Linked DNA regions of Macaca fascicularis. The protein of the gene in region 6 interacts with the protein of the main gene of each other region in a pairwise test. Links are inferred from orthologs where the notes say so. Each region holds a gene or a part of one and is shown on either strand. Other genes may lie near its edges.

Evidence for each region.
Region 1: the proteins of DISC1 (region 6) and KCNQ5 interact in a two-hybrid assay, tested with the Homo sapiens proteins (2 studies listed by BioGRID and IntAct). The link is inferred for Macaca fascicularis from reciprocal best matches to the Homo sapiens genes DISC1 and KCNQ5.
Region 2: the proteins of DISC1 (region 6) and CCDC88A interact in a two-hybrid assay, tested with the Homo sapiens proteins (2 studies listed by BioGRID and IntAct). The link is inferred for Macaca fascicularis from reciprocal best matches to the Homo sapiens genes DISC1 and CCDC88A.
Region 3: the proteins of DISC1 (region 6) and FRYL interact in a two-hybrid assay, tested with the Homo sapiens proteins (2 studies listed by BioGRID and IntAct). The link is inferred for Macaca fascicularis from reciprocal best matches to the Homo sapiens genes DISC1 and FRYL.
Region 4: the proteins of DISC1 (region 6) and PPP5C interact in a two-hybrid assay, tested with the Homo sapiens proteins (2 studies listed by BioGRID and IntAct). The link is inferred for Macaca fascicularis from reciprocal best matches to the Homo sapiens genes DISC1 and PPP5C.
Region 5: the proteins of DISC1 (region 6) and SPTBN1 interact in binary tests that used the Homo sapiens proteins (3 or more experiments, as listed by UniProt). The link is inferred for Macaca fascicularis from reciprocal best matches to the Homo sapiens genes DISC1 and SPTBN1.
Region 7: the proteins of DISC1 (region 6) and UTRN interact in a two-hybrid assay, tested with the Homo sapiens proteins (2 studies listed by BioGRID and IntAct). The link is inferred for Macaca fascicularis from reciprocal best matches to the Homo sapiens genes DISC1 and UTRN.

Annotation. Positions count from the first base shown.
Region 1 is NC_088378.1:102,410,311-102,414,474, reverse strand, and holds the start of KCNQ5 (potassium voltage-gated channel subfamily KQT member 5), read left to right. Parts: upstream 1-1,364; 5' UTR 1,365-1,490; coding exon 1,491-1,888; intron 1,889-4,164. UniProt on the Homo sapiens protein: Pore-forming subunit of the voltage-gated potassium (Kv) channel broadly expressed in brain and involved in the regulation of neuronal excitability.
Region 2 is NC_088387.1:66,479,896-66,483,395, forward strand, and holds part of CCDC88A (girdin), read left to right. Parts: intron 1-1,298; coding exon 1,299-1,426; intron 1,427-1,565; coding exon of another isoform or gene 1,566-1,668; exon of another isoform or gene 1,669-1,918; intron 1,919-3,500. UniProt on the Homo sapiens protein: Bifunctional modulator of guanine nucleotide-binding proteins (G proteins). Acts as a non-receptor guanine nucleotide exchange factor which binds to and activates guanine nucleotide-binding protein G(i) alpha subunits.
Region 3 is NC_088379.1:48,354,044-48,357,987, reverse strand, and holds the start of FRYL (protein furry homolog-like), read left to right. Parts: upstream 1-1,144; 5' UTR 1,145-1,338; intron 1,339-3,944. UniProt on the Homo sapiens protein: Plays a key role in maintaining the integrity of polarized cell extensions during morphogenesis, regulates the actin cytoskeleton and plays a key role in patterning sensory neuron dendritic fields by promoting avoidance between homologous dendrites as well as by limiting dendritic branching.
Region 4 is NC_088393.1:54,379,203-54,383,191, reverse strand, and holds the start of PPP5C (serine/threonine-protein phosphatase 5), read right to left. Parts: upstream 2,801-3,989; 5' UTR 2,791-2,800; coding exon 2,670-2,790; intron 1-2,669. UniProt on the Homo sapiens protein: Serine/threonine-protein phosphatase that dephosphorylates a myriad of proteins involved in different signaling pathways including the kinases CSNK1E, ASK1/MAP3K5, PRKDC and RAF1, the nuclear receptors NR3C1, PPARG, ESR1 and ESR2, SMAD proteins and TAU/MAPT.
Region 5 is NC_088387.1:67,390,502-67,394,764, reverse strand, and holds the start of SPTBN1 (spectrin beta chain, non-erythrocytic 1), read left to right. Parts: upstream 1-1,463; 5' UTR 1,464-1,580; intron 1,581-1,871; exon of another isoform or gene 1,872-2,063; intron 2,064-2,101; coding exon of another isoform or gene 2,102-2,661; intron 2,662-2,758; exon of another isoform or gene 2,759-2,829; intron 2,830-3,122; coding exon of another isoform or gene 3,123-3,293; intron 3,294-3,374; coding exon of another isoform or gene 3,375-3,499; intron 3,500-4,263. Other genes in the region: uncharacterized protein, read right to left, coding at 868-1,195, 2,102-2,661, 3,123-3,293, 3,375-3,499. UniProt on the Homo sapiens protein: Fodrin, which seems to be involved in secretion, interacts with calmodulin in a calcium-dependent manner and is thus candidate for the calcium-dependent movement of the cytoskeleton at the membrane.
Region 6 is NC_088375.1:17,386,538-17,390,037, forward strand, and holds part of DISC1 (disrupted in schizophrenia 1 protein), read right to left. Parts: intron 2,652-3,500; coding exon 1,672-2,651; intron 1-1,671. UniProt on the Homo sapiens protein: Involved in the regulation of multiple aspects of embryonic and adult neurogenesis. Required for neural progenitor proliferation in the ventrical/subventrical zone during embryonic brain development and in the adult dentate gyrus of the hippocampus.
Region 7 is NC_088378.1:48,552,103-48,556,390, forward strand, and holds the start of UTRN (utrophin), read left to right. Parts: upstream 1-1,488; 5' UTR 1,489-1,513; coding exon 1,514-1,607; intron 1,608-4,288.

The DNA.
Region 1 (4,164 bases), on a different chromosome or scaffold from region 6:
CAACTATCTGCTGTGTCTTTGTGGTGGAAGCTTAGTTTTCCCTTCAGTTTAATTTGATGATTGTTTTCGTTCATATTCGGGGAAGAGTCACTCTGTTGGAAGAAGTCCCCGAGCCTGGCATCCTTCAGTTTTCCCTATGCTGAATGTGAGGTTTAAACTTCTTTTTCTTTGTAATATACTGTTTCTGAAGGCCAGAGGCCGCGGCCAGTGGCACCGTGGCCTCTCTCTCCGCCAAGGGTGCCTGGGCTTTGGACCACCCGGGTGCCAGAGGTGGTGGAAGACCCAGTCAGTTGTTCCTTGCAACAGGTCTCTAAGCTTGTAAGTTACAACATAAGGTGGGTGGGGTCGGAACCCCAAAAAGCTGGCGTCCGGGACACCCCACCCTCAGGTTTTCTTTACCAGACACTGGGGTCCTCGCTGCCGCTGCCGAACTTCTCAATCATATTACTTTATTGGACTTAAATGGAAATTTCTTGACGGAGGGAACCGGGTTTGTTCTCCCAGGCTTCGCGCCGCAGTCAAGCAGAGCCCCGGGGCAGCTCGCTCACAGCGGAGGAGCAACTTTGGAGTTTTACGCCCTTTCCACACCCCACCCATGGACTGGAAAGGATGTTCAGTTACTCGCGGGCTTGTTGTCTGATACTGGGATGGAAAGTCACAGTCCGCAGGCTGGAGTGAGACGCGGGAAGATGCCTGGTCCTTGCCTCGCGGACTCGGCAGCCGCGTCCTTCGAGTCTGTCCACTGAATTGCGGAGGGCTCGCCCGTGTGCGGGGACCCGAGTGCCACTGCCTGGAGCGTTACCTTGCGCTCCAGCCTCCAGGCTAGCTAATACCTGGAGGGCAGGGCAGGGCTGTTCCCGCTCTCACCCCTTGCGGAAGGATGGCAGGATCCGGCGCAGCGACGTAGCAGCGGGAGAGCACAGCGACCTGCGTCTCCAGTTTCTCCTCAGGACACAAGGCTGACTTCACCTTCCGGACAGCTGCAAAGCCCCTGCCACAACCAAACCAAACTAGCGCCTCGGAGAGGGGCTTCTGGAGTCGGTTCACTGCAAGGCGTGGGGAGTGGAGAGAGGGAAGAAAGGGGAAGCCTGGGGCTGGGTGTGCGCGCGTGGGAGCGCGCCTCGGAGCGCCCCGCACTCCCCCACTCCGTCCCCGGGGGCACTTTGGGAAGGAGGGAGTGGTAGTCGCGGGAATGAGGGAGAAAGAGAAACCCTCTCAAACTGACGCCCCAAACAGGTCCGGATTTAGAATTCGAAGCTAAAGGCTGTTAGAAATCGGGACTCCTCGGCCTCCTCTGCAGCCCCTCCTTTCCCGCCCCGAAGCCCGGGCGGTTTGCTGGCTGCCTGCTTCCCCGCCCCCGGCTCAGAGGTCTCTGGCTGGCGGGCGCCCCGTCGGCCGCCGGCTTCCTCCTTGAAACCCGCCGGCGCACATGAGGCCGCTGCCCCCGCCGCAGGCGCTGGCGGCCCCCTCGCTGTGCCCGTGGTGATGCCATGCCCCGCCACCACGCGGGAGGAGAGGAGGGCGGCGCCGCCGGGCTCTGGGTGAAGAGCGGCGCAGCGGCGGCGGCGGAGGGCGGGGGGCGCTTGGGCAGCGGCATGAAGGATGTGGAGTCGGGCCGGGGCAGGGTGCTGCTGAACTCGGCAGCCGCCAGGGGCGACGGCCTGCTGCTGCTGGGCACCCGCGCGGCCACGCTCGGTGGCGGCGGCGGTGGCCTGAGGGAGAGCCGCCGGGGCAAGCAGGGGGCCCGGATGAGCCTGCTGGGGAAGCCGCTCTCTTACACGAGTAGCCAGAGCTGCCGGCGCAACGTCAAGTACCGGCGGGTGCAGAACTACCTGTACAACGTGCTGGAGAGACCCCGCGGCTGGGCGTTCATCTACCACGCTTTCGTGTGAGTACCCGCGCCCCCTGCTATGCCCGCTCCAGGGGACCACTGTCCCTGGCCCCCTGGGGCGTGCTCCGCGCTCGCGCCCTTGGGCCCCGCGCGCGTGCACACGTGGTGGCTTTTATTTCTTCGCACGTGTTCGTGGTCTTCCTTCTGGAGCCTCTCCCTTCCCCCAGCCCCACTTCTCCCATCTCTACAGCTTGAACCATTTCCCCGAGGACACCCAATGAACTGCCCGGCAGCTTCAGGCTCCCGGGGCGGGAGCCAGGCAGACGCGGGACTTAGGCTGCGCGGATAATTGGGAGCAATTAGGTCCCAAGATACGTAAACTTCAACCGAACGGGGCGCCCGGGAGCTAGGGAATGCAAAGGGAGGACAGGCGCCTGTGTGAGGCTTGAGAGTACATTGGGGAGGTTAGGAGGTGATGGCTGGGTAGGACCGGGAGGAGTGAGGTGGTACCGAGGGCTAGGTCCTCAGTCCTAGGGGCGGAATAGGGGAAGCTGCTACTTGGTAGAGAGAGCTGCTAGGTTTTAAGTGCGCCCGGAAACACGCCTCGCCACCACCCAGCCACCACCAACGGAAAATCTGTCAGTGCATGTAGCCCTTCCTGCCACGGAGAAGGTGGCCAAGGTCTAGAGGAGGCCAGCAGGCCAGGCGAAGCAAGGCTCCCGCGCTGCAGCGGGTTGGGAGGCAGCGGGGAACCTGGGGCGCAGGAACGCGGGCAGAGGTGCGATAGCAGAAGCGCAAATGGGTCGCCTCGGACAGAGATCAGGCAGTGGATTAAGTCCCCATTTGTGGGGCGGAGTCAAAGTGTGTGTGTGTGTGTGTGTGTGTGTGTGTGTGTGCGTGTGTGTGTGTGTTTTCAGTAAGCCTTCTCCATCTAGCAGAGAATGCTTAATGAGAAAATGATTGGAAGCAAATGTTTATTTTTCCCTTAGGCATTTAAAACCTTTCAGTGGCTTTAAAGTTTACTACTGTTTTTCCCACAAAGTCCATTCATTCAGTCTCCTATTAGAGTCACGTTTATCTGGGCATTTTAAGGTTGTTTTTATAATGTTACCTCATGTCTAATTCTTTTTTTCTTCCTTTTCTCCTTTTGCTTCCTCTCTTTTTAGTATCATTATTTCTGCTTCTTTTTTGTTAAGATGAAATATAAAGACATCAACCTTAGAAGACCAGTAGAGAAAGTTGCAGATACTTGCTGATACATTCCTTGTTTCCTAGTAAAATAAGTCTTGAGCACACGGACTAGGTTTCTTTTAGAGATAAGTTGTGTCATCCGTACATAACTCTCTCCGGGGGTGTAGAATTAGCATCAACACCAGAAACGTGTTTTGAAATAACGTGGAAGAAGGGCTGGTTTTGTAACTAGGTGAACCTGGAATTCGACCACATAGGAGTCAGGAAATTGGTGGAGTCTACAATCTGTGGGTCTCTGGTATCTGGAAAATTTTACAGTTTCTGATTGATGTGAACATGTAGCATTAGGCGGAATATTCCAGCCAACTTTCCGTTTTACAGTGCACACAAGGAGAACGGTTGTGTTGCATCAGTATTACATCAAAAAGTATAACTTTTATGTAAGATTCACATTTATTTAAATGTGGTTAGGATAATGATAGAGAAATGCTACTGACACTTTTCATATTAATCTCCTCTGAACTGATATATAATTAAACATATTACTTAATAAGCCTGGTAAATTATTTTGACCTGTCAGAATATACTGAAATAATTTAGCAATTATGATACTCAATTTGGTAGCAAATATGTACTGTATAGATTATGATTTTTTCTTTACAACTGTATGCTCAAAATATGTATGGTTTTGAATTTTAAGTATGATACCATTTCTAGCCTTTCATTTTTGGTATATTATGCATTGTATATTCAGACAGAGTTAAAGAAAGCCTTGGTTGGTGCACATACTTTGCATCTCCTAACTTGTTCTTGAACATCAATGAGAACTTGCAACGCAACATTTTCTTTTCCATGTGTTGGTGTTAACAGGTTTGTATGGGCTTACAGAATTTTAAAACATTGATAAATTATTTTTCCAAAGGTTCAAGGTTGTATACTTCTCTATCCACCAAGCTTTATCAGTCTAGCAGTATCTTTAGTGGTAGATAGGAAATAAATTACGTACTTAATAGATGTAGCTTATGTGAAGTTTTGCATTATATATTTTAGAGTCTGAAACTGTAATGCCTCAGCAATTAGATAGGGGTGCTAGATCCACATTAGCACAAAGAGGGAATGGATAGTATCATCTTCTGGGAGGA
Region 2 (3,500 bases), on a different chromosome or scaffold from region 6:
AGTAGAATTTTGGAATTAGAACTAGAAATACCTTCCAAGTTTCCTACTTTTGTTAAACTAAGAAATACCTATAAATTGTATTTTTAAAAGAATTTGTAGTAATAAAGTTTCCTAGTGGTATCTGACTTATTGCATTATAATTTTAAACCTTTATTTCAATATAATGATAAAATGCTTGATCAAAACTCTTATTAAATTCTAAGTATAATAATCATGATAGCTACTTTTTATTGAGTGCTATGTGCCAAGTACTGGGCTAAAATCTTCATGTAAGTTGTATATATAAAAATAATATATATATACACACACACAAATATATATACATATATATACATGCACATAATCTTTACAACTAATCCTTTATAAGTATTATATCCATTTTTTAGATGAGAAAACAGGTTCAGAAACATTAAATAATTTACTCAGGATCACACGGCTAATAAATAGCAGAGTTGGATTACTGGATTCAAATCCAGATTTTTCAGACTCCAAAGCCCCATGAATTTTGACCTCAAAGCCAGAGAATGCAAATCAGGTTCAACTGTTCAACACTGAGCAACTAGTATTTGCTTGAATCTATGTATCAAGAAGAATTCTGAAACTTCCAGGAGTAAATTGGCAGTATGTTCTGTGAAACATGGTTGGTGCAAGTCAGAAGGTGTGTGTTTGGCTCTTTTTCCCCATCTCTAAGCATTATAATATGTGATAACCGTTTAAGTTCAATTTAAAAGTATATTAGCATTCTGGCAGAAGGTCACATTGGGCAGTCTGCATTTCTGCTAAAGAGGCATTGAGAGGGACCTTTTATTTTTCTCTTCTGTAGACTTATACACATGAACAACAGGTTCCTTGTGCCTAAACTTCTAAGAACATCCTCTAGTTCTTCAGATCAGTATCATAAGACCTCTTTCACTGGGAGAAGGGATCTTGTGGGAGAGAAGTGTTATAGTCAACATATATTTATAAGAAGAAAGGTGCACTAAAGTTCAGGCTCGTTATTAAAAAGTAAATGGATATGTTTTTCCCCCACAGTTTTCAAACCTAAATGTGTATTCACAAGTAAAGAGTTACTACTCCCTTTTAAGGTTTTGTTTAACGCATTAGCATAAAAAAAAAGGAAAAAAGTTATTTCAACTAGGTTATAACTTCAGCTACATTTTAATAATGAAGGAATGGTTTAACGACATTTCCTGGTTCAAATTACATGTATTCCTAGATGGTGGTAATTAGAATCTTAGCTGACTTTCTTAGATGTTTATGCCCTTGACACGTGAGTTTTGTATTTCTTTTAAAATAAGGATTTGGTGAGTGAAAAATTGAAGACCCAACAAATGAACAATGATCTTGAAAAATTAACTCATGAGCTTGAGAAGATAGGGTTGAATAAGGAGAGACTCTTACATGATGAGCAAAGTACTGATGACAGGTGAGTACTAAGTCTACTTGGCAAACAGTTGAAAAAAATTTTTTTTTTTTTTTTGCTCATACATTAGTTATTTTCTGTATTAGCTATAGAAAACATTTATATATTTCACCCTATTTCTGGTTCCTTTCTTCCCTTAAAGAAAGTTGTGTGGCCGGGTGCGGTGGCTCACGCCTGTAATCCCAGCACTTTGGGAGGCTGAGGCGGGCAGATCACCTGAGGTCGGGAGTTCGAGATCAGCCTGACCAACATGGAGAAACCCCATCTCTACTAAAAATACAAAAAAATTAGCCGGGCATGGTGGTGCATGCCTGTAATTCTAGCTACTCGGGAGGCTGAGGCAGGAGAATCGCTTGAACTTGGGAGGCAGAGGTTGCGGTGAGCTGAGATCGTGCCATTGCACTCCAGCCTGGGCAACAGGAGTGAAACTCCATCTCAAAAAAAAAAAAAAAAAAAAGTTCTTAAGGAGAAAAGAGGAATCATAGACAATCTAAATACAGATACAAGAAAATAAAAACCTAAAATGTTACTATATAAATACAGTTATAAAATAGGAAAACAGGATGCTACCCAGGTAGCAGAAGATCAGAGGCTATAATTGACTGTGAAAACAATAAGACATTAACAACAAACCAACCTCCGGCTCATCAAACACAGTCAATTAAGCAAGTTATTTTTTATCTGAATCATGTGCTTAAATACCTCTGTTCTTTCATTTATTTGCCACAATGTTGACTTAAAGATAAATGGAGGAAAAGTATGAAACAAAGGAAAAGAAAAGCAACTGAGGTATAAAAATAATGTGGAAAACTAAAGCGTTAAAAGCTGGATATGAGTTAAAAAATTAACTCATATGCCTTTTAATTTTAAAAATGATCAGTATAGGTTTAAAGAAAATATATATTCTCTCATGGTAATTACAGTCTATCAAATAGAGTTAATCTGATTTTCAAGTAGTCTATTGTTTAGCATCCAGTCAGCTCCATGAATCCAGCTGGAATAGAGGTTGTATATTGTTAAGAACATTATTTTATGTAGACTAGATTTTCATTCCATTTCTGTAATTATATAACTTATATTTTATCTACTCATTATTACTGTTCCAGTATTTATATTCTATATTAAATGTATATTGGAAAAATTAATGGTGATTTGTTCATGTAGTTTTGAGAATGTTCAAAGTAAATAGGATAGATTGATACTTAAAAAGTTAGTTGTGTAATAACAGAGATATAATTTGAGGCATATATTCTAGCAATCAGTTCAAGTCAAGCAATGATTATTGAATTAATTATACAGATATTTCATGAGGAAATATTTTTATTTGAATTAATCAGATAGTTTTAAGTGCAGATTTCATTGACTGTCTTTTAATATAGATACTGAATATGCATCCCCTCTTTATTCAAACAGATTTATTATCTACTATATGTAAGACACTGTACTGCATGTTCTTTGCAAAAGAAAAAGTAGAGTACACCCTATAGTGCTAAGTGACCCTAGGTTCATATAAATTTATGAACCCAGCTCTGGGTGGACCCTTTATACAGTTTGGCTCCTCGTCCCAAACCTTAATTCATACAGTTAGCCAATGTTAATTGAGCTCTTCTTATCTGCTGATCATCTAGCATCGAAGTAGTGATAATGTTTCAACTGAATCTTAAAAAATGACAGAGGTTTACAAGGTGGGAACAGTGGGGAAGGGCATTCCATGTAGACAAAAGCATTTGTATAAAAGCACAAAAATGTGCTGAGCAATTTTTAGAGTATATAAAAGATGGATTACAAAAAGGATGAATTTGTAAGCACAGAGACAGGCTAGGAAGTGATTATAATAGTCTAGGCAACATGTGATGGCATTCATTATTTCCACATATTTATTTACATATTAGGCATGGAGGTAAGGGTATATGTTGAACTAAAGCTTTTTGGAAATAGAAAGTGGCTTGAACTACTAAACCAGCTTCTTTCTCAGCCAGGGAGTTAGTCTTTATGTCACAAAAAAAAACCCAGAAGCTCACAGACATATATTCCTTTAATGTGCCATTCCCTCCACCTTGGGATTTAGGTGTATCAG
Region 3 (3,944 bases), on a different chromosome or scaffold from region 6:
AGCTTCCATGGGAAACTGGGGAAACTCTAATGCAGACCCCGCACTAGGCTTCCCCATAATTTCTTCTCTTTTCAATGGGTGAGGTTCCGCTCCATGGTCCAGCTTCTGGTATCAGACTCCCTCTTTCCCTTAGAGAGACGCGTTTTCTTCTGAGAAGCACTTCAGTCGTTCAAGAAACAGCCGTATGGTACCCTCTTGGGTTCAACTGACCTGGGGTGTTTTTCCTACAGTTCTAGCAAGGGGGAACGAAGTCCTACACTTTGAGGATGGCATAAGGGTACCATCTACTTAATTTTTTCAAAAAAGTAGCAGGTCTCGTGGAAACGCCGGAACGTCACAGAAGACGTGACTTAAACGGAACTTGTGATGGAAATGATTTTCTAAATTAACAATTGCGAGACAAGCAAGGAAATCTCCAGGTTTGCAGATAGCTTGATTAAAGCTCTTCCGGGTGGCAAAATGCCAGTGCAATCAATGGTATGAGTAGAGCGGACAGTGGATGAAATTTGTTGAGTACATCTCAGGACGAATTAGCACTGGACTTTCAGGTATTCTAACTCAATTCTAATCATTCCATTCACTGGATCATTGGATAAGGTTCCGCAGGATCCGGGCGCCAGCTCTGGATACATTACTCATCGGGAGAAAATTTCGAATTTTTCTCTTATCCCTTTCCAGCTTTCCTCAATATAGGATATGAGTTTGTTCTCGACCCCTAACAACATTTAAAGGGAAAGTCGCTCCTAGCAGGCAAAGCGGGGAGGACTTTGCGGCTGTGTTTCTCAAGCCCGTAAAGGGAGAGTAATAATGGTAGGGGGCGTGCAGACTAGCTCTTTCCTTGCCCAATCAAGTGTACAGGAAGATGTCTTTTCACCAATAAAAATAAAGTTCGCTTTCCAGGGGCGGGAGGGTGAGCCACTGCTCCGAAGCGACATTTGAGGCGAGGGCAGAGAATGATTAGAGGGAGGACCAACCCGGGAAAAGGGGCGGGGAGAAGGTGGGAGCAAGTTTGAGCGGCGGCTGGCCAGGCCAGTGGAGGGGGAGGACTGTGTTCCTGTTGTAGTGTCTCTCGCCAATCAGGAAGGCCAGAGGGTGGGCGGGGCAGGGAAGGGGTGGGAAGAGCTCGCAGCACAGCCGGGCGGCCGTCGGGCTTTGGGAGAGAGCGAGAGAGAAATCCGGTTAAAATCAGAGTCGGAGGGAGGTTTAACCAAAGATCGGTTCCGTTCGGATTATTCCTTAAAGGGGACGCGCCATTGTCAAGAGAACGGAGCCAGGGGCCCGAGGGCGGGGACTGGCGGCGCTGGAGGAGCGAGGCAGCTGTACTAGGACTGGGGACGGGTAGGTGTTGACTAGGGAAAGGCGCTTCATTTCACTTTCTCTTCCAGCTCGGGGGCAGGCGCCGGGATGCCCGCCGCCGGCAGCCCAGCCTGGGCGGGAGACGAGGTGGTCGGCCCTCGCCAGCTGCCCTTCCTGGTGGGCGCTGTGGGGAGGCGGTCCAGGATGGCTGGCAAGCGGCGCGGCCCGGGCCGGCGCTCGTAACGGACACCAAACCGCGGCGCAACCCCAGCCTCAAACGAAAGCCCGCCCGAGCTCCGGCGGTTCCGCGGGGACCGCCGCGCGCCCAGCTCTCCCGCGCGTCCCCTTCCCCTTCCGTGCCTGGCTCTTCTCGCGCGTGCCCGGGTCCCCCTTGCTCGCCGCCTTCTCGCGCGTCCTGCTCTGCTCGCGCGCCGCCTAGCCACCGACTCGCGGTAGCCGCCCCGCGGGAAGGAAGGCGGCGGCGGCTGCAAAGGTGGAGGAAGACCGGCGACCACGGCTCAGCTACCCCGGCTCCACCGCCCCGGCTGGGAAGGGAAGGCTGAGGAGCAAACTTAGCGCGGCGGCTGGTGGGCCCCGGCGGGCAGGGCTGCCGGGGACCGGCGGAGCGCGCCAGCCCGGCCGGGCATTGTCCGCCTTTTCCCTTGCTCTGGTCTCTCCGCCCACTGCTCGCGGCCCTGGGGAGGGGTGCGGGCGCTGTGCCCGCGCCGCCCCGGGCCGTTGGCGCACCCCGGGACCCGGAGCTTTCCGGAGCCAGGGCCAGCCCTGCGGCCACCGCCCGCGAGCTGACTCGGCCTGTGGAGTGCCTGCTGCTCTCAGTCTCGGCACCGGGCAGGGTGCCTGGGCGCTGAGCTCTTTACAACTTTTCTTTGCCGTTTGATGGAAGTTGTTGCTTCCGGGCGGCAGGTTCTTTGGGCATAGCCTGGTTTCCTGCGTTCTGGAGAGGCTGGTTTCTAGGGCGAAATGATTGGTTGCTGCTGGTATTTCCTGCCATCCTAGTTTCGTTCCTCGCCACCTGAAATCGCGTTTTTATGGATTTGCAATGATATGGTTGCATTAATCTTTCCTAGGCCAAGATTTGAAAAGAAAAAAGCTGGGGGGGGGGGGCGTTAGGGTGTGTGCTTGTGAAAAACAAGAGTTCTTAGTAGAGCTGAATTTGCCCTTACCTTTGAACTGCAGAAAATACTACCTCGATTCACTGGCTGGCGTTCTTTTGGAAGGGTTGGGGAAAAAAGACACAGCAAAATAGGTTGCCGGGGTCTGTCGGATTGCGGGGGGAAAGGGGTTTTGATGGAAATAAGGTTGGTTTTATAAAATGCTGTGCTGCCTAGGAGATATCGTCTGTAAAGTTGATTCTGCTACTGAATTTATAGGCATTATAATTCGTACCAACAGCTTTTACTATTGATAAAACTAGTATAAGACGTCTTTTCATCTTGAGTATTATCACTCTGCTTAACCTGTCAATACTTGCTGAGGAAATCAGAGATAGCACATTCCTTGTTAGAGGCCTTAGTGAAGAATGTTTTCATAAGCATTCATTTTTGACAGTTTCTCCTTGTGCAATACTTTGTCGAGTACCTACATGTGCAAGTTACAACCGTATAAACAAAGTAGCAGTGGGTGTGTTATTCTCTGGTCTTTTTTCTGCTACTCATTATCAAAAATAGCATTCCATCGTGTCTTTTCTTACACTCTGAATTATTTTGTAAAATTAGTTCTCTAAAAGAGGGAATTTTGTTGAAACATGTGACCCAGTTTTTTTTTTTTTTTTTTTTTTGATTAAAGCAATCCAACTTTTTAAAGTGTTCATTGATTAATTTGCTGTCTAGTAGCTTCCGAGTGGTGTGGAACATTGTAAATTCACAGGCTCAGCAGTAACAATAGAGAAACTACTTGGGAAATTGAAGGCCAATATCAGATAATGTTTGAAAGAAAAATCTATTCTTCTCACAGAATTTAGGAAATGAAGACACACAAAAACAAATTCTTTGGGTTCAAGTGATCATCCTACCCCAGACTCCGTAGTAGCCGGGACTACAGGTGGGCACGACTGCGCCTAGCTAAAATTTTTATTTTTTGTAGAGATGGTGGTTTCACCTTTTAATTTTTTATATAGACGGCTAGTCTCCAACTCCTGGCCTCAAGCGATCCTTCTGCTTTGGCCTCTCAAACTGCTGGGATTACAGACTGAGCCACCGTGCTTGGCCGTTTGTAGTAATCTTGATGGTATCTGGAATTGTTTCACCTAATATTCCTTCTTTTCTATTTTTTTCTTTGATCCATTTCTGTGATAAGGATATCAGGTAAGCAGCTAGGCATAATCTTCCTTCCCATCTCATAGTAAGTAGACGGTTAAACCAAGTTTTTTAAAGTCTGTTTTTGTTTACTTACTAATTTATTTAAACAATAAAAGAATTTCTCAACTTTTAAAAGAGCACATATAAATAAAACATTCAGAAATAATTATCTTTGAAATATCTAGACTGTATTTTCTGAAAAAGACTTTTTCCTCTTTTGTGCTTTCTACATTGTTTTAAACACATTGTTTTATATGAACACATTTCTTGAGTTATGAACTGTTTCTTGAGATCTTTGGGAGCTAGGATTATCCTCCATTTCTGTGCAGA
Region 4 (3,989 bases), on a different chromosome or scaffold from region 6:
CCAGGTTCCGCTCACCTTTGGGCCTTTGCCACCTGTTTTTTTTTTTTTTCTGCCTGGAGTACCGTCTACCCTCTCTCCAGGCAGCCACTCTCACTTCCTCTCTGAAACACTTCTTGAATCTATTTCTGTCCCTCCAGCCTGGTTGGCGATCACCACCCCTCACCTGTCCACTAATCTAGCCTCCTTCCTGTCTTACCCTGGAGTCCAGTCTCTGCATGGCAGCCAGGGATCTTTTCTGAATGGTAACTGAACCACGGCACCCCACTCTTGAAACATCCCATGGCATCGACCACCCTCAGGATGACACCCACATTCCCCAATCTGACTTCCAAGGTTCTACCTCTGGCCTCATCTCTCACTGGTCCTACCTCCCTCTCATGGCTCCCACCAGATCAAACTTCTCCATACTTTGCTTCTGCTCCTGCTGGAGGCCAACTCTTTTCCAGGGGTCCAGATCCTTTCCACCTCCACCTTCTCCAGGGTTTTGCTGCTGCAAGTCTCCCCTCTCACATGCAGAATCAATTCTCCATCTCTACTGGACTCTACTCTCTTCCATCCTTACAAAAAATCCATCTTCCCCTGACACTGCATGTTGTTTTTTTTTTTTTTTTTCTGTCTGTTGCCCAGTCTAGAATGCAGTGACGTGATCTTGGTTCACTGCAGCCTCTGCCTCCCAGGTTCAAGCGATTCTCCTGCCTCAGCCTCCCCAGTAGCTGGGACTACAGGTGTGTGCCACCACACCCGACTAATTTTTTAGTAGAGACGACGTTTCACCATGTTGGCCAGGCTGCTCTTGAACTCCTGCGCACGTTCACTTCTTACCACCCTCCCCCATTTCTCCACTCTTCTTCAGAACCAATACTCCTAACACTTAACATTTGCTCTCTCCACTCCCTCCCTTCCCATTCACTCTTCAGCGCCCTCTTGGCTGCACCAGCCCCGTCATTCCCCAACAACTGCTCCTGTCAACATCACCATCAGCATCCACGGAGCCAAAGCCAATGGCCAGTGCTCGCCTTGGCAGCATCGGACTCAGGGCACCAGCTCCTTGTTCTATAAGCGCTCTCTTCTCTCCGCCTTCCCGACACCTTTCCTGGCTTCCTTTCCACCTCACTAAGCGGTCCTCCTTAGCCTCCCCCTCTTCCACTCGGGATCTGTCCTAAGTCCCCTCTCTAGACCCTCTTACTAGATTATCTCATCCATTCCCAACCATAGTTTGATCACACCCAAATTCTTCTCCAGTCCAGACTGTGCCATTTACTTACTCAGTGTGTCCTCCTGTAGGGCCAGGAGTGGTGGCTCACGCCTGTAATCCCACCACTTTGAGAGGCTGAGGTGGGCGGATCACCTGTGGTCAGGGTTTCGAGACCAGCCTGGCCAACACAGCGAAACCCCGTCTCCACTAAAAATACAAAAATTAGGTGGGCATGGTGGTGTGCATGCGCATCTATAATCCCAGCCACTCGGGAGGCTGACGCAGGAGAATCACTTGAACCAGGGAGGCGGACGTTGCAGTGAGCTGAGATTGCGCCATTGCACTCTGGCCTGGGCAACACGAGTGAAACTCCGTCTCAAAAAAAAAAAAAAATTCCAAACTGCTCTTTGCAATGACTCGGGGAGACCCTGCATGATCTGCCCTCTGTCCTAATCTCATCTTGCTATTGGTCTCCCGCTAACTAGCAAAAGCCCCAGCCATGCCAGTGTCCTTTCATTCCCCACCCCAGGGCCTTTGCACAGGCTGCCTTAACTCCCTGGAACACTCCTCTCCAGTTCTTCCTCTGTGAGTTTCAGCTTAAATGCTTCCTGCTCAGTAAGGCCTTCCCCCACTACCCTATCTAAAGTAGCCTCCAACCCTTATTCTCTACTTCATCACGCTGCTGGTTTGCTTTCAAAGCACTCATCACAATTTAAGTATTTTACTTATTTACATGTTTTTTTTTTTTTCACGTCTGGTTCACCTGCAAAATTACAAGCTAAGGACAGGACCACATCTCTCTCCTTCACTGCTATATCCCTAGAGTCAAGCACAGTCCTTGGCACATAACAGGTACTCAATAAATATTTGTTGAATTAATGAATGAATGGGTGCCCCACACTTGACTCTTTCTCAATATTCTAAGTGACACTATTCTTGGGGATCCCCACCCCTACTCCCAAGGCCCCCACCATCACATTCCTTTTCCTCGGTCAGCCCAAATCTCCTACTTCCTTGTTCCGCCCATCTAATGATCCATTCCCCACCCCCACGATTGCCGCCTCTATTGGGACTGTCCCTCCTCTACTCCCCAGTTGGCGGCACCCACCCCAGGACTCCCCACTTGGTAGCGCCATCACTCACTCCCCCACCACATGTCACTGCCTGGTAGCGCCCTCTACAGGCCTCACGTTTGGTAGCGCCCTCATTCCAGTCCCCCTCTCGCCCCACAATTGGTGACGCCCTCCTCAGTCTCTCCACTGAGTAGCACCCGCTCCGCACGCCACTCCTATGTATCACTCTCCGAAGCCCCCTATGTCGCCCCTTGGTAGCGCCATCCTGGGCCTCCCCACGCCCAGTCACTTGGTAGTGCCTGCCCCGCGCCCAGACTGCAGCTCCGCGTTGCCATGGTTCCGCGCGGGCCCGGCACCCTCGGCCTGAGCCGCTGTCCACCCTCCCTGCTAGGCGGGCGCACCTTTGAAGTAGTCATTGGCCTGAGTCTTGAGCTCCTCTGCCCGCTTCAGAGCGCCATCAGCCGGGTGCTCGTCCCGGGGGGGCTCAGCACACTCAGTCCGCTCGCCCTCCGCCATCGCCATGCCGCAAAGCGACCCCTACCCTGGCAACGGCCGCCAGCGGCACCCGGCCGAACCGTCGCGAAGGAGCGCCGGGTGGCCGCCGCCGCTGCCGCACAAGTGTCGTAAAGCGCGGGCCCTGAAGGGGCCCTTCACGCGCCTGCGCAGGTCCCTCTCGCCATAGAGCGCGCGGAGGACAAGGTGACCAGAGGGTCCCCGGACGGTACCCCTGGTAGAGAGAACCAATAGGGAATGAGAGAAGGGGCGCGCGGGGAAACAGAGCTGGTGTGGCCTCTGCTCCCAAAGTTACCGTGTTCCAAGGCTGTAAAAAGTTTCTCGGTTCTTAAAGTGGGATTTCCCTGCTGTCCTCTAGGGTTGGGGGGTGGGTTGTGAATGTCGCTGGCGGGTGTGGCTGCTTTGCAAGGCAGCGCCATGCCCTACGCGGAGCCGGACCCGGGCGTCGAGCCCTATTGTCAGCTACCTGTGTGACCTTGAACAAATCTTCCCTTCCTCTCTAGGGCCTCAGTTACCCATCTCTGAAAAATGGGTGGCTTCTCAAGCCAAAAAAGGTCCAACCCTGAGGGTGTTTCTGAGTTTTTAAATGAAGGCACTCTGGATTTCAAGTCCTGAGCAAGGCTCAGAAGTGTGTTGCACCATCCCCTTTCTTCCTGTGTTCAGCTTCCCAAATCCTGAATCTTCAAATAAACTCTCCTGTTTGCCTTTTTACAGATTCTCTTGTCTGAGATCACAGCGTTGATTGCATGCACTCTGCCTCCCTCATTTACCCTTCACATGGCAGCTAGAGGTTTGGTTTTGTTTTATTTTGTTTTGTTTTGAGAGGGAGTCTCCCTCTGTCGACCAGGCTGGAGTGCAGTGGCGCAATCTAGGCGCACTGCAACCTCTGCCTCCCGGGGTTCAAGCGATTCTCCTGCCTCAGCCTCCCGAGTAGCTGGGATTACAGGTGCCTGCCACCACGCCCGGTTAATTTTTGTATTTTAATAGAAACGGGGTTTCACCACGTTGGCCAGGCTGGCCTCACTGCCGACTTCAAGCTATCTGCCCACCTCGGCCTCTCAAAGTGCTGGGATTACAAGAGTGAGCCACTGCACCTGGCCGAGGGATCTTTCTAAGACATAATAAAACCATGGCACACCCTCACTCCCAGCCTTCCATGGCCCCAGCACCCTTAGGAGAAAACCCAAACTCCTGATTAGGAGACCCTG
Region 5 (4,263 bases), on a different chromosome or scaffold from region 6:
TAACACTGGAAGAATTAGTTTAAATGCATGCACTTCCCAATATTGTTACTGTTTTCTTTGGTATCTCACTAACATTGTAGGTGGGGAGGTGCTGGGGTCTATGGTAAAAAATAAATAAGTGCTTTATTTTTTGCTTTCTAGTGGATTTCCCTTATTACCTAATGAGGGCAGCAGCTTACAAGTTGATTCTGTTCAATTCAACAAATGTTTTTTTAGTATCTCCTAAGCGCCTGCTATATGTACAGAGTGAAGAAAGAACGAACCCTACCCTTAGAGAGTTTACCGTGTGGCTGTGTTGATTCACCTTCTGAGAAAAAATGTTATTTGCTTTCCTCAATTTTTTTCCTATCTATCAAAAGTAAACGTAGGTTCAAACATTCAAACCTATGAAGGCCTAAAACGAAGAATCACCTTCAGTTTGCTGTGTAAATTTCATTAAGTTTTATTTTAAAATATTCATTTAAAAATACAAACATATAAACTCATCAGACCAGGTTCTAGTGATCTGAGATAGAAGCATGGTCCAAACTACTTGATTGCCTTTTATTTTTGTTTTGTTTTAATCCAGGTGATCAGGTCTTTATGGGGAAAATCCCTGGTGTTTTTTCAAACAGGAAGGGCCCTCCTCCCTCTGAATGCCCGCAGTGCCGCCTTGTGCACCTTACAGAACAAGGAGAAAGTCAGTTTCTTCAAACTGTTTTCTAAAGAGCGTTTCCATTCGGGTTCCTGGTGATTCCACCATCTTTTCTTCACAATAGTGACGGTTCTGGAATTTCTACACAGTTTGAGGGGCTGACGGGGTAGACCAGGTGACTGGGAAGGGGCATGGCACATGACAAAAATTCGAGGAAACGTCCAGTTTCTTTTTCAAGGAATGCGCACAGGGGAAAACGCAAGTCCCCACGCCATCACGGGCCCTCCGCCGCGGCCGGACGACCCCACTCTCGGGAATGACTGGGCAGGGCACCTGGCCTCAGGTTCGAGCGGAGCCTGCGCTGAGAGGCAGGAGTTGGGTGGATGAACCACTTGTAGGGTCTGCTCCCAGCTACCCAAAGCGAAAGGGTGGGCGAAAAAGCATTTGCAAAAGAAGAATACGTTAACCTCGCCAAGGAACGACCCCCACCCACCCTCCAGCGCCCAAGGTTTCCCACGAAGAGGTCGCCGTCGCCCTTCTCTTCTCCAAGCCGGGCAGAACCTGTAAGGCATCACCACCTGCATCTCAAACCAACTAAGCAAGTGACGCTCCAAAGCCTCCCTAAACACCCTCTCTCCCCCGCATTCCAAACGCAACATCAAGGGCGAAAAGAGGCTGCATAAGTCACGTAGAAAATTAGACCGCCTCTTTCCATGGCGATAATCGAATTAGCCTCAAATTAAACGTGAAATTGGCCCTCTCCGGCTGTGGGGACAAAGCCCCTATTGTCCTGCTCGGGTAGCGGCAGCAGCAGTGCCCACCCCGCCCCGGCCAGCCTTGTCCCCGCCGCTGGGAGGATGAAGTCCGGGATGGGCCCTGGAAAAGCCTCGGCTGGAGAGGACGAGAACGCGCCCGAGGCTCGGCTCCCTGGCCGAGCGAGCGCCGGGTGGGCAGCTGCGGGGCTCGGGGCAGCAGGAGAGGGCTGGCGAAGCCGAGGGAGCGGGCGGGAGGGGGGAGGGAGGAGGGAGGCAGGAGTGCGGAGGGCGGAGGGCGTGCGGGAGGGAGTCCGCGAGTGCGCGTGTGTGTGTGTGCGCGCGCGCCCGCCCCGCGCGCTCCTCTCCCCGCCCCTCGCCCCCTCCCTGCGAGCGCCCTCCTCTCCTCCTTCCCCCGCCCCCCGCGCTCCCGCCCAGCCCCCGGAATCAGTGCAGCTGTTGCCGTGCAGGCTGCGGATTCCTCCAGTCCCTCCCTCGGCCGCCTCTCCTCCCGGAGCTAGCGCGCAGCCCTGCGCAGCAGCGCCCACTGGTCCCGTCCTGTGAGCCCCGGCCCCAGCCGCGGACAGACCCGCGGAGTCGCCTCCCGGCCCACCCGCCCGGCCGCCGAGGAGCGGGAGGAGGACGGGACCCCGGCGCCCCCACCCCATCCCCGGGAGGTAGGTAGGGGGCCCGAGGTAGGGAGATGCCAACTCACTGGGGCTGCCTCCCGGGCAGGCTCCGCGGCGTTGGACTGGCGGGAGGAGGGGCGCGGGCCCAGGGCCGGAGAACGCGGCTGCCCGCCTGCCCTGCGCCCGGGGAGCCGCGTGGGGGCAGGGAGGCTGCAGAGCCCGGGCGGGGGCGGCGCGGGGAGCCCGGGTCGCGGGTGCTCATTGGTACTCGGGTGATGCGGGACGAGGGGCGGCAGGCTCTGCGGTGAGGCGGCCGCAGATCCGCCGTGCGCACCGCTGCCGCCCGGCCCCGGCCCCGGCCCCAGCCCCGGCGATTCCTCCTCACTGCCTCCGCCGTCGCCTCCCTGCAGCCGGGCGCGGCGGCCCCTGGCGCGGAGGTGGGTGCGGAGCGGGCAGCAGGAGGGTCTATTTTCTGGTGCCCTCCCTGTGGCCCCGCGGGTGGGGAGCGGGGGCGGCTGTGACAGGGCCGGGCTCTGCGCGTAGCGGTGCAGGGGATGCGGCCAGGCGTGGTCCCGGCTGCGCCGCGCTGCAGCTGAGCTGGAGGCGGCGGCCCCGCGCCCCCACCCCCGCCCAGTCCCAGCGCTCGCTACCCTTCTGCGCCCGCCCCCCCGCCCTTTCTGCCGTCCCCACTCTCCCAGGGCTGGGCGTGAGCCGCCTCCGGGCGCCGAGCCGCCGCTGCGCCCGCCCTTCAGCTCCAGCCACCCTCTCTTCAACAGGTTTGTCTCAGCGCGGGGACCCTCCGGGCCTGCCTTGGGTAGGTGGGCTGGAAGCCCCTCTCGTCATCACCCCCCACACCACGCCCACGGCCCTCTTTTAGGGGGCGCCTTCTCTTTGTTTTTGTGATAGGAAGGGTGCCAACTGCTGCCATCAGATGGGGAGGGGGTGGGGATCAGAACGCAAACCTCTGTCCATTATTTTTCCAACCCAAAGCCAGGCCAGATAGTGAGGACGGGGTGCGTGTGGGGGTGCTTTGGCGGAGGAGAAAATTGAATTCGGTGGGGTTTATTTGGGAGGGGATGTGCTTTTTTGGCAAGATGGATGGCTCACGGTGCCCTCGCCGTGATGCAGCACAATGCAGCAGTATCGCAGCTTCCTTGGTTCTCGCTGGCGGGGCTTGGCGGCCGCTCGGCGCCTGCGGCCCCCGCCCGGCCCCACCCAGGCCCGGGGCTGCCCTTGGCCGAGGCCTGAAGCTGCCACTACGTTGTCCTGCAGCTTCTGCTGGATGTGGCGTCAGGAGGACCAGGTCACCTAGGTGTGAGCAGGGGAGAGTCTTCTCTTTTGGGATCATCCCTCCTGCACCTCTCGTTGGGCTGCGCTCGTTCGGAGGGGCCCCCTGCAGCACCAATGCAGGCAGAGGGGAGCCGGCCTGCGGATGCGGATCGGAATCTGATCTGCGACCAGGGGACCTGAGCCATAGGGAGGGGCTGCAGGAAGGACGGGGCCCAGTGGTGTGCGGAGGCAATGGTGCAGTCAGTGTGGGGAGTCGCAGCGTTATTCTGTGGATCATCCATAATGTATAACCACAACCCAGCTATGCATTAATTTCTTTCTACATGAAAAGTTGGTGTTTATTAATTGGACCTTCGCAACTGTGACATTACAGTACCTCTTCTGTCTTTGGTTAATACCAAGCATGCATTTTTTCTATAGGAAACCATTTTATAAATGAAATGATTAATGTGTTTTAGTTTTTATGTCACTAAGACATTTATAAGTATGTTAAAATTCAGTAGGTTGTTTTAAAAGGAATGTATATGTTTTTTAATGGATAGTAAATGATTCCTTTAGCCTGTATTTGTTTTGTTTTCATCGTTTGCTCTTTCTAAGTCAAGTACAATTGCATTATTTGGATGCTTTATTAAGGATTATTAGGTGTATGAGTGTCATGATGGAGGGTAAGTTGGTATTCAGATTTCTGTTGATTCAGATAGCCGAGTTTAGTGTCCAGGCGTAACTAATGGGATTATGACAGTAACAGGCTGCGTTTGTGTTTGTTTATATGTATTTTTTGTATACATATTTTTCACAGCTGTGACTGTGGAGAGGGTGGAGAAGGGCAGACCACCAAGGCCTCTTGACTGGTATCTAGTTAGGAGGAGATGGTTCCCAATGTTCTCATGTTTGGTCTCGGCCAGGACACAGGGAATTTCCCTTCTAAATGCCATTTCTATAATTCATTTATTCCGTG
Region 6 (3,500 bases):
GAGGCCGGCCAGATGTGGAACGAGGGAGAGGGAGGTGTGGAAGATGGTTGTGGTTTCTGGCCTAAGAAACTGGATAGATTCTATGCATTCGAATCAACCAATATTGGAGGCCCTTCAGAATGGGTTTGGGGGAAAGACAAGGGCATTGGTTTAGGCAATGACTAACTGGAAGACTCCACACATCACCCAGAATACCAGCCTGCATCTCTGCTCTGGCCTCAATCCCTCTCTGCATAATAAATCAGAGGGCTGGGCTGAGGTCCCTGAGGGCTGAAAAAGGGCAAACAGGGACAGGGCTAGGAACACCAGACTGCAGATAAAGAACGGAAGGTAGATGCTCTTTCGGGGAATGAGCATGAGCTTCTGCAGATTCTCCTCCCAAATGCCTGATGAGTGGGTGCTCCACTTCCCTACTCACATGAACACATCCCCACACACATGCGAGTGCACACACACCCACAAATACATACTCACACACGCATGCATACACACACATGCACACACAGCACAAACATGCACACACACATACACACACACAGCACAAACATGCACACACATACACACACGCACACACATGCATACCTATATGCACACACGCACACACACACACCTATATGCACACACAAACACGAGTGCACACACACCCACAAATACATACACTCACACACGCATGCACAAACATGCACACACAGCACAAACATGCAGACACACATACACACACGCACACACATGCACACGTATATGCGCACACACACAAACACATGAGCACACCCACAAATACACTCACACACGCATGCACAAACACACGCACATGCACACACATACACATGCACATGCAAACACATACAAGCACACACATGCACACCTCTATGTGCACACACACACACACAAACACACATATGTACACCCACCAGGATTAAAACACAGTCTGGCAATAGATCAGCCACAGAGCATCTCTACCTGGGCTTCTCTGGGAATTTTTGTGGGTAGAGGAACCCTGCCTACTTCTGGCTATACCCACCTCTCAGATAACTGGATAGACAGCAACATCATAAGGCTGGGCCTTAGATGTCTCCAGTTTGTCCTTATTTCCAAAGCAGCTACATTCTCATTTGAGCCTTAGAACAATCCTATGAGTTGGTGTTATCTCTAAATACGGAAACTGAGAGCCGGAGAGGTTCAATGACCAGAAGCGAAGTCTCCTGATCCTATGGAAGGCAGCAGTCACTGCAGCAGGATGGAAGGGAATGAGTGAAGTGGATGAAGAGCAGGATCGCCCTGATACAGGGCATCCCCATTTTTGTATCTCTCAACCCCTTCTAAACATCATCCAGCTCAATCTCCCCTGCCCCCAGTTTCCTGTCTCAAAGCAGAGCTGAGCTGAGTTAACCACGTCTCACCTAGGCCAGGGCCTGTGGAGGAGCCTGCGGCCCAATGGAGAGCAAATCTGAGCACCTACGTGACAGAGAAGACAAAAGGGAGGGTAGATCTGTGTCCAATTCAAAGAGACAGAAGTGTAGCAACATCCTTGTTCAGCCAGCTCCAAAAGGAGCTGCTGCAGCTTTTAGGAGGATAGCAGTTGAGCCCAGAACCCCTCACTTTCTGCCATCTGCCCAGTGCTAATCTGAGCTCACGACAATCTCGGGCTGCAGAGGTGGAGGAGACACTGACCTCCACCTGCCTCCGGTTTCTCAGCAGGCAGTCCCGCAGCACTGGCTCCCATTTCCTGAGCAGGGTGTCCCAAGAGTGGGCATCCTCCGATCCGCTGCTCCCATCACCACCACAGCCAGCCAGTGAGGGATCCAGAGAACTGGAGGAACCAGAGTCCATGTCCGGTAAAGAATGCATCTCACACTCTGGCCTGGAGCTGTTCCCGGCGGCCTGGGCCAAGTCCTCTGAGACCTGTGTAGCCAAGAGACTGAAGGGCCGAGAGAGACATCGAGGGTCCTTATGAGGCCCGTCCAAGCTGGCAGCTTTGGCTCCCATCTCCTGGGGGCTCTGGCAAGGGGACTCGGCCTCTCTGGATGGTGGGCAGCCTTCTGCTTCTCCACGTTCCCCGGCAGAGCCAAGCGAGAGCCGAATAAAGCTAAAGCTTGAGGCAAAGGCACTGTGAGAGCCAGGAGGGGTTGGGGGGTCCTCAAGGCCACAGCCAGGGTTGCAGCTATTGCTACTCAACTCTGCTGATGGCACAGAGCCTGCTGCCTGGACACACCTTGCTCCATCACTGCAGGCTGCCTCCCAGCTGGTGTCCAAGGTCTCAGAACTGTCCATGGCTGCAAACTCTTGCTGCCACCCAGCATTCCCAGGGCCACACAGCCTGCTAAGCCTGTCAGGCAATCTGGTGCCACCTCTGAGCTGAATCCCAAAGTGTGCCGAGGTTCCTCTCACAGAGGTCACAGCAGGGGCTGCTGCGCTCTTGGAAACAGGGCTCCCAACCAAGAGGCCTCCCAGGTCAAGGCCACACTCTCTGGTCTTGGACTCCAAGTGGTGGGACTCCTCGCCAGGCACCCCTCCTGGGACCCGGAACAGTGTGCCCACTGCTGGGGAAAGGAACCCGATCCCAGGCCCTGTCGAGCTTCTCATGTAGCCCGGCCTCCGTGCCAGCCGCCGCCTCCGAAAGCACGCTGCAGGTGGTAAGCAATCCCGGCCGCCTGGGAAGGAAAGAGAAAACAGCACTATAAACGTGCAGTTCTTACTGGCCCAGCTGGAACTGCATCTGGAGCACATCCCTAGGTTTAAAGGTCATCTCTCGGTACACCTGTCAAAGATACATGCTGGCTCAATGGTCCTGGGGCCAATCCGTTATGAAAATCCCAACAATCCTCAGGAAGTGTTTGCCTGGAACATGTAGAAATCAACACAGCATCTCAGCTCCTGGGTTTAGCAGAGCAACTGGCACTGCTGTATGCTATGCCCACAGGTCAGCATGAACACAACTTTGGTGGCTCCTGAACCCTCCAACATCTTGCCTGTTGGTCTTTTATGGCACATCAGTACTCTCATCCTGGAGTGGGCCTGGAAAGCAAATGACGTGAAAGTGGGATGCCAGAGCATGCCCCTAAATGAGATCCAACCATTTACTCTAGCTATTCATTGAACAACATGTGAATGTTCACTAGCGGGGCTATCCATGTCCCTGCAAGACTGATCTGTTGCTGCAGACCCATGGATAGCTGGCTGTGCTGCAATGTATGGCCATCATCTCATCTCACTCAGTGAATGACAGGAGGCCTGCTTGATGTGTTCTCCAAACCAGCACTGCATTCCCCTTCCAGCTAGGCTATAGGAATAGGAACAATAACAAATGCTGATTCCTCATTGCCTGGTTCAAACCCTGACTGTACCACTTGCTGGTTGTGTGACCTTCCACAAAGTTACTTAACCGCTCTGTGCCTCAGTTTCCCCATCAGTAAAGTGGTGATATTAACAGCTCTCTCATAAGGTGGTTGTGAGCTTTCAACTAAATGAGTTACTATTTGTAGACAGCTTAGAACAATGTC
Region 7 (4,288 bases), on a different chromosome or scaffold from region 6:
CAGTGGTTGCATTGGGCTAAGGGATGGGGATCGATTGTGGTGATGGTTGTAGAATTCTTTGAAAATACTAAAAATCATTAAGTTATACAGTGTAAATGAGCTAATTGTATAATATATAAATTATATATCAATAAAGTTTGATGCAAAAAGAGATTATTGGGTATTGACTATGTGACATCATCTGTATCATTGCGCTTTTCCTGGTCTCTCTGCCTGTGACAGTCCTAGAAGACAGGTGAAGTCAGCTTGTCCATTTTACAGATTTGGAGACTGAGGCTGAGAGAGAGAGAGACAGAGAAAGAGAGAGAGAGAGAGAGAGTATTTTGCCAGAGTTATACAGCTGCTAGTCTAAGGAAAATGTAGAGATGAAGAGGAGGAGCGAAGGGGAAGTACTGTCAGTTTCTCTTTTCTGTACCACAGTACAGTAGCAGGATGAGAGATGCCTTTGAATTCAAACCTGTGTGTATCCTGACAAAGATACATATTCTATGAAAAGTCTTTGATAATAAGTAGAAAATTTCTATTTCACAACAAGCAAGAAAAAGAATGAGAAAAGGACTAGAAAGTAGATAATGATCATATGAATAATGATTTTCCTTGCTTTTTGCATGTATGTGGAGGACACATGCAGAAGTGACAGCAGGAGTTCGAGACCAGCCTGACCAACATGGTGAGACAATGTCTCTACTAAAAATACAAAAAAAAAAAAAAAAAAAAAAAAAAAGCGCCAGGGGTAGTGATAGATGCCTGTAATCCCAGCTACTTGGGAGGCTGAGGCAGGAGAATCACCTGAACCCAGGAGACGGAGGTTGCAGTGAGCCGAGATCATGCCATTGCACTCCAGCCTGGGTGACAAGAGTGGAAAAAAAAACTATGATAATAAAGAGAGCAAAGCGACCATAAAAGAGAATAGGCTGGAAAAAATAGTCTAAATGGTGGTCTCTTATCTTATAGCTGCATGTGGTTAGGTTTATTTTTTCCATAATAGCAATTTCTAAGGGATGAAGAAGAAATCCTTTTGAGTTTTACTTCCCCAAGGTATATATAGCTACTACAGTGAAATAATAAGCCCAATTTATTCTTTGAAGTATAGTTAATATGTAACAAAACTCCTAAGGCCAGTTGTATACCCAGGGCAATCACCTTCTAACACCTTTATTTATGTACACAGTGGGTAGGAAGGTGGGTGGAGTGCCCCTTCCCAGCTGACACTGTCAAAACAGGAAGCAAAGTTATAATCTCTGTCATAGGAACATGAATAGAGGCCCTTAGTTGTGACTATTAAAAAAACAAAAAACCTACCTAAGGAGTTTTCACTGACTGCAAAGTGTAACTTCCTGTCTGGTGTTTAGAGGAGGTGGGGTTAGTTAGGTTTAGTCAGATCCTCTCATGAGAAAAATAAAAGCCACAAAAAAAAAAAAAAAAAAAGACATCCCAGTGTGCAGTTCGAAGGCTGCTTTTGTTGTCCACTTCCTCCACATCTTTTTCCTTGTCATCTAAGCAGATGTAGGTGATGAGCAGCCCAGCAGCCACCACGTTTCACTGGAAAAAGTGCAGATTGGATTTGCCAGGGCATGTAGCTGTCCAGGCTTGCAAGAGATTACCAGGTAAGTTTGTCAACTTGTGCTACTCCCAGCCAGTGAGGTTTTCATAGGAAGCGCCTCTGGAGACAGGGCTCTCTCGTTCACTTTTGTTAAGTACCAAAGCTTAGGACCAGGCTGGTGACGGGAACAGACAGCCTGTCCTTCCTGCTGCCACATCTGTTGTGGACCCTGAAGAGTAGAGACTAACGCTGTCTGCTTTGCACTTCTCTTCAGGAGGTGATAATTCACTAGAGTTATTAGCTTCTTTGAAAGAAGATTTCCAGGATCCCTACATTTGTGGTAGCAAATGTGCTTCACTTTACCTCCCTGTAGATTTTCAAAATAGCTTACTCTGTGCTGACCGTTTACTGCCGTATAGAGAAGAAGCCTCCTGTGTGGTGTTGAGTATTGGTCGACCTCATCCCATATTGTATTTGATTTACTCTGTTGGCTAAAAAGGCATTTTACTTCTTGAAATATTTAGTTTCAACCTGAGAAAGGGGAGAATAAAACGTTTGTACTTTGGGGGATTGTATAAGCGCTGGGGTTTCTGTTTCAGTGCAGGCTTCTCTATGAGACGTGTATATGCCTAACTTTGTGTAGGGAAAGTGTCATGCACTTTTCTCTCACTGAAGTTTACTTCCGGGGTGACTTAGTTTTTCTGATCAGTTTAGATGTTCATATCTTGTTTAATGTATACATGTGTGTACTGGTTGTATGAACTTTTGGAGAGAAAAATAACCCCAAGTGATGTGTTTTATTTGATTATACACATCATGCATGAATGTTGTCACTATGAAAAACTTTGAGGCTGGTTGGTTTTCTTTTTTAATGTTTTTCTTTTTTGTGGAATTACTCTTTCCCTCTTAATGTTTTCCTTCTTAGCTTCAGCGAATGAGGTGGTAAGGGGTTGTAAGTGTTGTCTCTGTGGAGCAAATTCAAACCAAAATGATTGGAGCAGCTCATATTTTCTTAGTGAATTGGGTGTCTTGAACAAGTGGCATAGAAGATTGGTGTACTACAATTCTCATCATTAGCTGTTACTTCTTTCTTAAATAACCATGTGATCCCAACACAAAATCAAAATACCTCTCAGGGACCTAAATTAAAACTCCATGCGGGCCGGGCATGATGGCTTATACCTGTAATCCAAGCACTTTGGGAGGCTGAGACAGGGGGATCACTTGAGGCCTGGAGTTTGAGACCACCCTGGGCAACATAGGGAGATTCCATCTCTACAAAAAATTAAAAAATCAGTCAGTCATGGTGGCATGTGCCTGTGGTCCCAGCTATTTAGGAGACTGAGGTGGGAGGATAGCTTGAACATAGGAGTTTGAGACTGTGGTGAGCCATGATCATGCCACTGCATTCCAGTCTGGACAACAGGGGGATATCTTGTCTCAAAAGCCTGCATAGGAGCATCTATTGCAGACTTGTGACCTTTCGAAGATTTCCTTTGATTGTGACTAAATCCTCTCTCTTTCCCTGACATTGAGAGTCTCTGTAGTCAGCTAGTCTTCATCAAAGGGTCTTGCTACAAAGGGTCTGGGGTAACCATAGTGTTTGAAATCAGAAGACAACTAGAAGAAAAGTACAAACAAACCTTTAAATAATAAGCAGGCTTTGGCTGGGGGTGGTGGCTCATGCCTGTAATCCCAGCACTTTGGGAGGCCAAGGCGGGCGGATCACCTGAGGTCAGGAGTTTTATACCAGCCTGGCCAACATGGTGAAACCTGGTCTCTACTAAAAATACAAAAATTAGTCGGGCGTGGTGGCGGGTGCCTGTAATCCCAGCTACTTGGGAGGCTGAGATGGGAGAATCACTTGAACCTGGGAGGCAGAAGTCGCAGTGAGCAGCGATCGCACCATTGCACTCCAGCCTGGGGTGACAGAGTGAAACTCTGTCAAAAAAAAAAAAAAAAAAAAAAAAAAAAAAAAAAAAAAAAAAGCAGGCTTTTAAATGAGTAGCTACAGTGTTAAATATATTTAATTGCTGTGCTGGTTGAGTTCTGGTTCATTTAGATAACATTCTTTCCTGCTCTAAGACCAATCAAAAGGCTTTTTAGGAAAATACCATTTTAAAAAATAAAATGTATTTCAGTGCATGTTATTTTAATAAAAATAGAAAACCAACGTGTACATGATTTCGAATTTCACAAGGGCCTAGATTGTCATCAGTTATTACTGAACTGAATTTTTTTTGTGTGTCCATAGTATAGACTCTTTAGTGATCTTCTTAGAAATAAGGACATTAAATTTAATGTTAAAAATAGTATTTTCAGCCAGGCACAATGGCTCATGCTTGTAATCCCAGCACTTTGGGAGGCTGAGGAGGGCAGATCACCTGAGGTCAGGAGTTCAGGCCAGGAGCCTGACCAATGTAGTGAAACATCGTCTCAACTAAAAATACAAAAATTAACTGGGCGTGGTGCTGGGTGCCTGAAATCCCAGCTACTTGGGAGGCTGAGGCAGGAGAATCGCCGGGACCTGGGAGGCAGAGGTTGCAGTGAGCTGAGATTGAGCCACTGCACTTCAGCCCGGGCAACAGGATGAGACTCTGTTTAAAGAAAAAAAAAGATCTCTATCTCTATCACTATCTCTATCACTCTCTCTAGCTTATCTGTCTGTCTGTCTATCTATCTATCTATCTATCTATCTATCTATCTATCTATCTATCTATCATCTATCTATCTCATCTCTATCTC